Linked DNA regions of Mus musculus. The protein of the gene in region 1 interacts with the protein of each later gene in a pairwise test. Links are inferred from orthologs where the notes say so. Each region holds a gene or a part of one and is shown on either strand. Other genes may lie near its edges.

What was found.
Region 2: the proteins of Coil (region 1) and Pdlim5 interact in binary tests that used the Homo sapiens proteins (3 or more experiments, as listed by UniProt). The two-hybrid records come from large-scale screens. The link is inferred for Mus musculus from reciprocal best matches to the Homo sapiens genes COIL and PDLIM5.

What each region holds. Positions count from the first base shown.
Region 1 is NC_000077.6:88,971,392-88,977,249, reverse strand, and holds the start of Coil (coilin), read right to left. Parts: upstream 3,316-5,858; 5' UTR 3,302-3,315; coding exon 3,048-3,301; intron 1-3,047. UniProt on the Homo sapiens protein: Component of nuclear coiled bodies, also known as Cajal bodies or CBs, which are involved in the modification and assembly of nucleoplasmic snRNPs.
Region 2 is NC_000069.6:142,241,790-142,246,673, forward strand, and holds part of Pdlim5 (PDZ and LIM domain protein 5), read right to left. Parts: intron 3,223-4,884; coding exon 3,107-3,222; intron 981-3,106; coding exon 891-980; 3' UTR 1-890. UniProt on the Homo sapiens protein: May play an important role in the heart development by scaffolding PKC to the Z-disk region. May play a role in the regulation of cardiomyocyte expansion. Isoforms lacking the LIM domains may negatively modulate the scaffolding activity of isoform 1.

The DNA.
Region 1 (5,858 bases):
AGAAAATAATACAAGAGCTGACCTAGCCACTGCATACATAGACTCACTTATGGGAGTGGCTGTCTGCAAATGAGATACACAGGGCTGGACCTCTCAAAATCAACTGGGATGTGAGAAGGGTCTCTGAGAGGCCTCTCTTTACCTGAGGAACTATTAAAAATAAACAGGACTAAGTAAAGTAAATTGCTTCCCTCAGTACTTCAATCACTAGAGTACTTGCTGGGCAAGCCTGAGAACCTAGCTTTGGAGCCATAGTGTGCTGGTGTGTATCTGTGGTCCTAGCACTGGGAAGGCAGAGATAGACAGCAATAGACAGACACCTGGAGCTCACTAGCCAGGCCAGCCTAACTTAGTTCCAGGCTCAGTGAGAGACCGGTCTCAGGAAACTAAGGGTATTGAGAAAGACACTAGGCACCAAGCTCTGGCCTCCACACATACGTTTACACACATGCCTGCACACCCAATGCTATGAGCACACATACATTTAAGTTGTAGACATATATGCATACAATAAATCTGTCAGGGGAAGACAATTATAAGGAGGAAAAAACAAACATAAGTTAAAAAAACCCATAAATACTTAGTTGCTATTTTTCTAAAATATTTTTTCAGATTTTATATATTTTTTCTTTGTAAGGCTGTTTTGACTGCGTGTGTGTGCTATGTGTGCTCAGTACCCATGATGGCCAGAAGAGGGCATCAGATTCCCCCTGGGACTATAATGAGCTATCTATCAGGAGGGACCTGAACCCTGAACAGGGGTCCTCAAAAAGAGCAGTCAGTGTTCTTAACCACTGAGCCGTCTCACCATCCCTCACAGGTAGTTTTTTCCTATGGTCTACACCATTTACCACCAGGGCTAGCTGCAACCCAGCTCTCTATCTCCCTGGACTGAGCCCAGGGCCTCAGGCATCCTAGCCAGGAAGGCACTCATTCACTTACTGAGTGACATTCTCAGGCCCACAGAGGTAATGTCTTTCCAGGCCCAATTGTCCAGTTGAGGCATTTAGGAGAAACCTCCCTGTCATCTGCTGCAATTACTGCTTGTAACCGTTGTTTCACCGTTGTTTTTTACATCATTACAAGAGTGTAATTCATGGGTGATTCATTAATTTAAGTAGTAACTGTAGCCAGCAGCAAGCTATTAAGTCATTAGGCAGGGTACCTTTCAGGGAGTGAATTTAACAGGTGGGGGACACAGCCCTCTCTCTTGTTTAAATAGCCTTTAAAGGGCACTGGGGAATGAGCTTACTTCTGTCAGTAAGAGGGGAAAAGAGGCTTGGCTGCCTGGAGTCAGCAGCAGGCAGACCTCCAAAGCTCAAGGCCAGCCTCCTCGTCTACACTAAGAGAACTTGCCTCAAAAAAGAAAGGGAGCGAGAGAAAGGGGAGGAGTTGGAGAAGGTGGAAGAAGAGGGGAAGGGAAGGGAGAGAAGGGGAGGGGAAGAGAGGAGAGAAGAGAGGAGGAGAGGTTTGAAATTTGGACTATTTCAAGTTGCCACCTGAAGCAGAATGATTAACAAATCATAGTATTCCTGACTTAAGTATTCCTGATGCAAAGATATGGTCAGTGTTTCTAATTAATTTCCCTGATGTTCTGAAGAAATTTTGCAAATGTGGCACTCTCGACAGAAAGCAACACTAAACAAAGGCAAGCAAGAAATAGCCTGCTTTATAATTCCATTTTTTTGGGTTTTTTTTTTTTTTTTTTTTTTGGTTTTTCGAGACATGGTTTCTCTGTATAGCCCTGGCTGTCCTGGAACTCACTTTGTAGACCAGGCTGGCCTCGAACTCAGAAATCCACCTGCCTCTGCCTCCCAAGTGCTGGGATTAAAGGCGTGCACCACCACGCCAGGCCTATAATTCCAAATTTAACTCACCGCAGCGGAAGCTTAGAGGTGTGGTTGGAAGTGGTGGGACCATAGACTATATCAGTATGTATGCCAACTGGTATGACCAATCGCATCAGCCCGCCATCTGAGACAACTAAGCCACCTGCCAACTAGTCACACTGTAGTCGCTCCTGGATACTCACTTCAGTGACAACGATTAAATTCTCCTTCTTGTTGTTTTGAGACAGGTTTCTCTACCCAGCCCTCACGAGGGTGGCTTCAAATTCAGAGATCTGCCTGCCTCTGCCTTCTGAGAGTTAGGATACAAGGTGTACGCCACCTCCACTCGGGCCTCTCTCTCTCTCTCTCTCTCTCTCTCTCTCTGTCTCACATTTGTTTCTTTTGTTTTCCAAGACAGGGTTTCTCTGTGTAGCCCTGGCTGTCCTGGAACTCACTCTGCAGACTAGGCTGACCTCAAACTCAGAAATCCACCTGCCTCTGCCTCCCGACTACTGAGAGTAAAGGCGAGCGCCACCACGCCCAGCCTGATTTTACCTTTTTTCTTTTTTAAACAGCTCTCACATATGCCAGGCTGACCTATGTAGCCAAGGATACTTTGAACTCCTGATCCTCCTGTCTGTCTTCACCTCCTCAGTGCAGGGATTCCTGGTTAGCCAGCTGGGAATCAAATCTAGGGCTTTGAGATGCAAGCAGTCAAGCTACTGAAACACACAGCCTTCTGTGTGACACGTGAAACGCATTCCGATACCAATTGGATGGGACCCAATGACACCTGAATGAGACACAGAAATCCACCAGAAGTGGACACTGCCAAGGCGCTAAGGTGGGCCATTCCATACATTACTCAGAAAACATCTCTGCTTCCTGCCTGCAAGTGCAGCCCAGAGAAGGCGGGTCTGTGGCATATTTGCGCCATGCACACTGCACACAGAGCCTGGCAGAGTGAGTACTGGCCCTGCTCTTGAGCACCGGAGCTGCTCCAAGTTTAGTCCCCCTGAAATGAGAAGCGTCCCGGGGAACCCGGGGAAGGATGCTCCATCCTGGGCTGGACCACTCAGGATCTCGCGAACCTGCCTTTCCGCAGCTGGCTAGCTCGCTACCCGGATCCTGCATCCTGCGGTCCAGCAAGCGCCCCCCACCCGCACCCGCACCCCGAGCCGCGCGCCCCCACCCCCACCCCCGCGCGCTCCCGCGCACCTGAGGCTGTCGTTGTCTCTCACCAGGCGCGCGCTCTCGGCAGGGGGCAGCAGCCCCCCTTCCAGATAGAGGCCCAGGAGCGCCCCGGAACTGAAGCCGAAGCGCTGGCGGATGAGACTGATGAGATCCGTGACAACTCGACATCTGTTCAGGTCCACCAGAAGCCAGAAGACCGTGCAGTGTGGAGTGGCCGGCGGCGGGTAGTCAAATTGAAGCCGTAGCCTAACCGTCTCGGAGGCTGCCATCTTGCTCATGCTCGACGGAAGCCGAGAGGTTCCAAGGGCTTTCGCAGCGGCGTGGTCCGGCGGCCCGCCCCCAGCAGCAGCTAGCGTGCGCCGCCTGGGGGCGCAAGTAGGTCTGTAAGGCTCCCCTCGCGAGCTCCCCATTCTTTCTCAGGGCTGAACATACATGCAAGTTGACTGTCAGGATAGCTGCTACGATATCGGTTCGTGTAATTAAACAGAAACAAACCAAAAATCTATAAAATTAATAAGCAGCAAGCCTGACTCGAACCCCTGTAATAGGTTTTTACTTTTCTACCAAAAAGGTCAGGAAAGCACCAAATTGTGGTGCGTGTCCAAGCAGAAAATGAGACATTCTCGTGATGCGAGACTTAAAGTTCTCATAAGACTGTTTAAAACTCACACACACACGTCCTTGGGGGCCTCAGGGAGTTCAGTGTGTCCTCTGTCCCTGACCAGATCAAGTGCTTTCCTCATCTTGAGGCAGAACAGTATTCTGAAAGTGTTGACGGTCCAGAGAGTCAGAAAGCTAAATAAATAGGAAGATTTTCTTTAAAAGATTTATTTATTATATATAAGTTACACTGTAGTTGTCTTCAGACACTCCAGGTGGTGCCTAGGTACCCAGAGAAGACACTCAGGAACCACACCATTCACTCCAGAGCCTGCTGTTCCCGACCAGTCCTGCCTGTAGCAGGCCCTATCATCCCAGAGGGAATCATCCCCTACGGACGCCCTGTTCTAGCTTTGTTCCTTTCTCCTCAGGGATGGCTGCTGCTGGCTGCTGGCTGCTGGCCACCTCCAGTCGAGAGGTAGAATACAGTATGACGCGAGAGCAGTATTTGTGCTTTTAGGGTTATTTAATATTTATTTTAAAAGACAGCCAATTTATTTATTTATTTTCAACTAGAGAATGGGTCTCTAGGTCTCTAGGAATTGGCTGTGGGGCCCTCACTGCACATCTTGTTCCTTAGCACTGTTTCCAGAATCCTTCCTCACGTCTGGAAGAGGTGGAGGAAAAGATTAGGGGTGGATCTCCAGGCCTTCAAAGACATCTCCTGTTCTGAAGGCCAGGCCCACTGTGGCTGGGGTCTCTGGCCTTGCTACCTGAAAAGTGAAGCCACATTCCCTCAGAGTTTTCATCTCATCAAGGAGCTGGTTGTCCTTGAACAGCAGCTGCTCCTCAGGAGGCCTCTTCATGATGCCCTCAATGATGCGCTTGAGCTCCCACACCGTGCTTGACTCCTTGGCATCAGTGAAGATGGTGGTCTTCTTGTGTCGGATCACAAGAAACACAAACAACCCTGTGTCTGCTTGTGACTCCATGCACCTCACTGGACCTGAGAAGTGTCAACAACAGACTTTAAGTCTTTTCATTGCTCTGGGGCTGAGTTTCTCTGACCCTGACAGGAAAGGCTGGTTTCAATTGGATATCTGCACCTGCAGGAGGCCTCTTAGGGTGTTGTTAATCTGAATTCATTAGTCTAATGCTGGTCTTTGCCCCACCTTATGCATATTGCAGAGGGCTGAGGCCTTCTGGATTATTTCTAGGAATAAACAAAACAGATTCTAGGAACACCTACCCTATAATCCCTTTCCAAATGCCCTTGCTTACCACAGTTAAGACATCTGACAGTTTGATTTTTTTTCTTAAGACTTTTAGAATTTACTATCAGATTAGCATCATAAATGTGAGATCCAATATCTCTAATCTATTCTATTGGTGCTGATGGTGCCTAATCATCCTTTTGCATTCTGAACTAGCGTTTTCAAAAGCCAAGGATTCAATTAATATTTTTCTGACTTCTCTTTACAACTGAAGTCAATCTTTGCAAAAATCAGGGAAGGCTGCTTTGGGGCCTTGTGTATTTTAAGGAAAAGACTCACACCTTTCTTGGTTCTTCAACCTCATCTCAAGCATTAAAAAGCTGCTAAATGACATAGCATCAAAATGTGATCATCAAATTCAAGCTGCCTTTCTAAATCTTTGTTGTTGTTGTTGTTGTTTGTTGTTGTTTTGTTTTGTTTTTTCAAGACAGGGTTTCTCTGTGTAGCCCTGGCTGTCCTGGAACTCACTTTGTAGACCAGGCTGGCCTCGAACTCAGAAATCCTCCTGCCTCTGCCTCGAGAGTGCTGGAATTAAAGGCGTGCGCCACCATGCCAGGCTGAGGTTGGTTTTCTAATAAGCTTGAGCCAGCCCCTTTCAGTTTCATCATGTGACTGGCAGAGTGGCAAGTTCTTTCCTAAATTCCTCAATCTGTGTCTCACTGGTTTTCCTAGGTCTTTCTAAGGGTTTTTTAAATTTCTGAAGTCTGTGTCCAAGTATTTTTCTTATTCTCCTTTTCAGTCTAATTTTCCTGCTTCTGCTTGGATCTTATCAATCCAGTGTTTTTTGAGCAGGTACAGAAAGCCATGATGGCTATTAAGAATATAGTATAAGGGGCTGGAGAAATGGCTCAGCAGTTGAGAGCACTGACTGCTCTTCCAAAGGTCCTGATTTCAAATCCCAGCAACCACATGGTGGCTCACAACCATTCGGAAGGAAATCTGATGCCCTCTTCTGGAGTGT
Region 2 (4,884 bases), on another chromosome or scaffold:
AGGTTTTGAACCTTCAGTTAGAGACATAAGATGTAAAAATCAGTCAGTTCATTATCTGAAAGTGGGAAGTGGTCCTTTTAACTTTCTACTTACAATGACTTTATTTCCATAATTCCTTTATCTTCCACCTACTCTTTTCTAAAAAGGAGACAAAACTATTAGAGTCTAACGCTATTGAAATATCTTCATGTCAGCATAAGAGATGAAAAGCATGGCGGTCTGGACCAGGCAGCCATACACAACACAAACAAACTGCCCCATCTGAAGGCGGCCAGCATCTGGGAGAACATCAGAAGAGATCACAACAATCTCTTACTGGCACGACACACTTTGATCAAGAATTTCCATGGCCCATCTTACTGAAAGGTAAGACCAATGATAAGAGCAAAGCAAGTACACTCACTAAACAGAAAAGTTACTGCCTACTCATAAAATTTATTTAGATTTCTACTTACTATTTTAAAGATAAAATGGTTTTATTAAACAATTATTCTTATTAATAAGGTTTAAGGCACTTTTATTGCCTTCTGTGGATTCTCATAGCTACTACCCGCCCCACAAAGTATTATTTCAGCATAGAGGCTAGGGATTTTAATTCTAAAATGTAATACTTTGCTAATTTATTCTAAGATGAACTTAATAGCCAGGAAATTGATTTTTATAAAAGCTATTTCATGTGCAGAAAATACTGGCAATTCATAACAAATGCCAAACTGTCTGTGGCTTTCTAAACCAAACGTTTTCTCAGATTTGATTTTTAAAGTTGGAGTCTGTGCCTTCAGGGCTATTACTATTTGAGAACTCCATATAAATATTAAACTAAAAATTAAATGGTAATTTTGATTTTGCTTTTTCTTCAAATTTCTTCTCTTTCCTGGAACCACTGATTTTCAAAAATTCACAGAATGAGCATGTTTTTTGCAAAGTGGCTTGTCCTTCTTGGAGAAAAATGTCTGCCCTTCCAAACTTTCACAACACACCTGGAAGAAAAAAAAAAAAGAAGCATTATTTAAAAGAATAACATTATTTAAATCAAATCTCCCAACAGGAAGTGACTGCCCCCAATGAGCAACATTACAAGTTCTTTAGATAGTTGTGTGAGACAAGCTGACACTTCATGATTAACATGACATTTTATGTCATTTTTGAAAAGCAGAGTGATTTTTTTCCTAGAACAGTCTGATTTATTTAAATAACAGATGATTGCTTTTCTTTACTAAGAAGAAAACACTTAGTCCCAATGAAAATTTTAGTACACCAAAAGTCACATTAAGAATACAAATTCTAACCAATTTTTAAAAAATCTGTTTCCTTTTATAGAGCATTCAAAAAGAAACATAGCTTAATTCCTTTGCCAAACCCAATGTCAGTCTGTCCTATAACACAAAGGCCATAGATTCTTGCTATTATTATTTGTTCATCTTTTATTATGTGTATGTGCCTGAGTATGGTATGTGCATGAGTCAGGTGTCTTGGACACCCAGCGAGCCCTGGTGGTCAGCTGCTTGACATGGATACGGAGTCAATCCTGGGTCCTCTGCAAGAGCAGTAAGTGTTTTTAATCACTGAGCCATCTCTCCAGCCCCAGCAGGCTGGTTTTTAATTTACTTCCTGAACAAACTATCCATTCATGAAGGAACTGATTTGACTTGACTCTCCAGTGAACGCCTTGGGCAGTGCCTGCCTGGTGAGTGGTTCTGTGGTCAGGTTACCCACACTTTCGCTTTCGTGTTCTTTCTGCTGTCTTGTAAGTGACAATGCTCATGAGAAGACCTTCCTGAGAGGGAAAATATGCAAAAGCTGTTTTTTATAAACTTTATGAAGTCTAAAAGATGAATGAAATAAAAATAAGAATGATCTGAAAGGTAGTAGTTGAGAAATCATTTGACTTCATCTTTACCTAATTCTTTTATGTGCTGGGTATCAAATACTGTTAGGTAAGATTAAATCTAACAGAAATCAAATACTGGCTTGGAACAGCTTTACTGAATATTATTTTTCTAAATTATAAAAATTATCTTATGCTAATGTTAATCTTAATCACTAAAAAACCCCAGAACACTAGGTACAGTGATGCACACCTTCCATTCCAGATCTCTGTAGGCAGAGGCAGGTGGATCTCTGTGAGTTCAAGAACAACCTCATCTATATAGCAAGTTTGACGTCAGCCAGGGTACAGCGTGAGACCCTGTCTCTACAAAAAGCTGTTGGGGATAGCTAAGTCAATAAAACACCTGAGTGTTATCCCCCAGAAACCATGTACACATGCTGGGCTCGGTGGTACATGCATGCTTTGTAATCCCAGGACTGAGAGGGTGAGGAAAGGAGGGTCCCAGGATCTCTTGCCAGAAGCTCTAGCCCAACTGGGGGGGTTCCAGGCCCATGAGAAACTCTGTCTCAAAGAACGTGGCCAGTGTGGTCAGAGTGACACTTGAGGTTGTCCTTCAGTCTCCACAAACATGTAAACGTATGAACATACACATAAGCATACAAACACATAAAAATAAATAAAATCAAACCCCAAAGCACTAAAAAAAAGCAAGTAAATAGGTAATTTTTTTCCATGTTCATAGTTTCAAAAAGAAAAGAAAATCTACGAGCTATCTCTCAGTCAGGAAGAAAACTGAGCCATCTTGCTGGCTCTCTAGTTCTTTGTTTTTGTTTTTTGTTTGGTAATTTCTCTTTTATTTAAGAAATATCTAATATGTAAAAAAAAAAAACCTTAAACTGTTTAATAAAAGAATTTAGGAAATTAACTCATATTAAAAAAAGAAAAAATATCTTCTCCTTAGAGACAAGAATGCATTAAAGGGTAAAACCCTATTATATGCCAAATAATTTCAAATCAACTTTTAAGAACATCAAAAACCACTGTTCCTTAGCTTTGAGGAATGGAAAAACCAAAGTGCTGTTTATTCCCATTAAGCACTAAGCTTTTTTAAAAAAAAAAATTAGTTATTTATTTACATCTCAAATGTTGCGCCCCACTCCAGGCACCCCGTAACAGAGTTCTTCTCTCCCCTCACCTGAGAGCTGGCCCCAGTATTCCCCTGACCCTGGCGTATCAAGCACTAAAGCTTTGACCAGGACAGTGCAGTTTACTTACAGAGCACACAAAGCAAGTATCATGCCAAGTGTATCCCAGAGCTTCCAGGAACATGTCACCAGCCTCTATGGGGAATTCACATCCACGACATATTGTTCCAAAAAGGGCGTAGTAGTCTGCATCAAGTAAAGAGAGATGTAATTTAAACACAGTGAGGCTTTGGAACTGCAGGTCACAGGAAACTGTACGCTGGAAGTTAAATGAGCTACAAAGGTTAAGATTGAGATGGATGTGAGGAACGCAGTATCTCCCAGGGGTTGGGCAGCTTGGTCAGGATTTCCTCACTGGGTTGGATGGGAGATGGGACAACCCCTGCAGAGGATCCTCGTCCTTTCCTTATTACTAAATAATAATGCTTGAGATGTATGGATTTTCTTTCCCACATTTTTATTCTCGTTGATGAAATTCCATCACTGTTGTGTTGGCCTTTAGTACAGTCAATATAGCTGAAGTTAGAGGGGAGGGATTCTATAATGTACAGCATGATGCTAACATGCTTCAGCACCAAGTGTTGAAGTCACATCCAGACACTCTACTGGGCAGTGCTGCAGGCCCCACAGAGGTACACTTGCAGCAAGGACAGGTATGGATGCTCATCTCAGGGGACTTCGGCTAAGACTGTGATAAGTGCGATGAGGCAAAACAAACAAACAAACAAACAAACAAACAAACAAAGGGCTGTGATAGAGACTGATTACGGAGCATACACTACATTATATAGGAAGGTTAGGGAAACCTAACAGTCATGATGAAAGTGGGAGAATCACACTGAGATTAGTCAGGAGAAACTGTAAGTATGAAGGCACTGGAATCAGAAATAAAATCTTAGCCATGTTCAGAAATAACAAAGGGATAAAGTGTGGGTTAAATCTGAGGTCAAGATGAAAGGGGACAGCAGATGAAAGCCCACAAAGCAGGTTCTAGCAAGGAGGACGGTGTCGTGCTCAGGTCACAAGCACAGTCTGACTGGCACTGTTCACAGCGCCCTGATTTCTCCCCAGCTGCCAGTAGGAAGTCCAGGCACAGAGCAAGAGCAAGCTGGACATGGTGGTGACACTGCAGATGGATGCAGATGCTTGTCTGATACCCTCTGGAGGTGGAATGCCAGAGATTACTTGTTAGACTGGGTTCTAGAAGATCAGAGAAAGAGAAAAATCCTAGGCCTTTGGACAGTGGACTGCAGCCATCTACTGAGATTGCTAAGACTGGTTGAAGGTTAAGGAAAAAGAGTAAACATTAGATCATAATTCCCTCTCTGCAGGCAGGAAAGGCATTAGTTTTATGTCATGATTGCTTCTAAACTATATTAAACATCACAAGCTAGGTAGAGGTTTATGCTTTGGTACACCTAGAGTTCCTACAAAGCTGCTAAAACTCGTGATCAACTAAACAAAAACCAAGTCTCTCTTCAGAAAAAAAAAGTAACTGCAAAACATGGTATATTCTGAGAACGCTAAGCAGTTTACAGGCAACTTTACTGCTAACAACCCACAGGGTATTTTATTGGAGGTTCTGGGGTTTCCTGGTGGACAGCCTGGAGTAGAGCCAAACCCTCCCAAGCTAAGAGGCTGAAGGGAAGGTGAGAATCAGAGTAGCGTGAGCACACAGGCAAGTGATGCTGAACCAGCTTCAGACAAGAGCTGATGGCTTCCTGAGCTTCACCACTGTGCAAAAGGACCACACTTGTGATTTCAATCTAAAATATCATTAAAACTCAACAGTGGGAATGCAGTGAATGGTAGTTAATAGAGGCAAAATAAAGGAACGCACACTTCCTA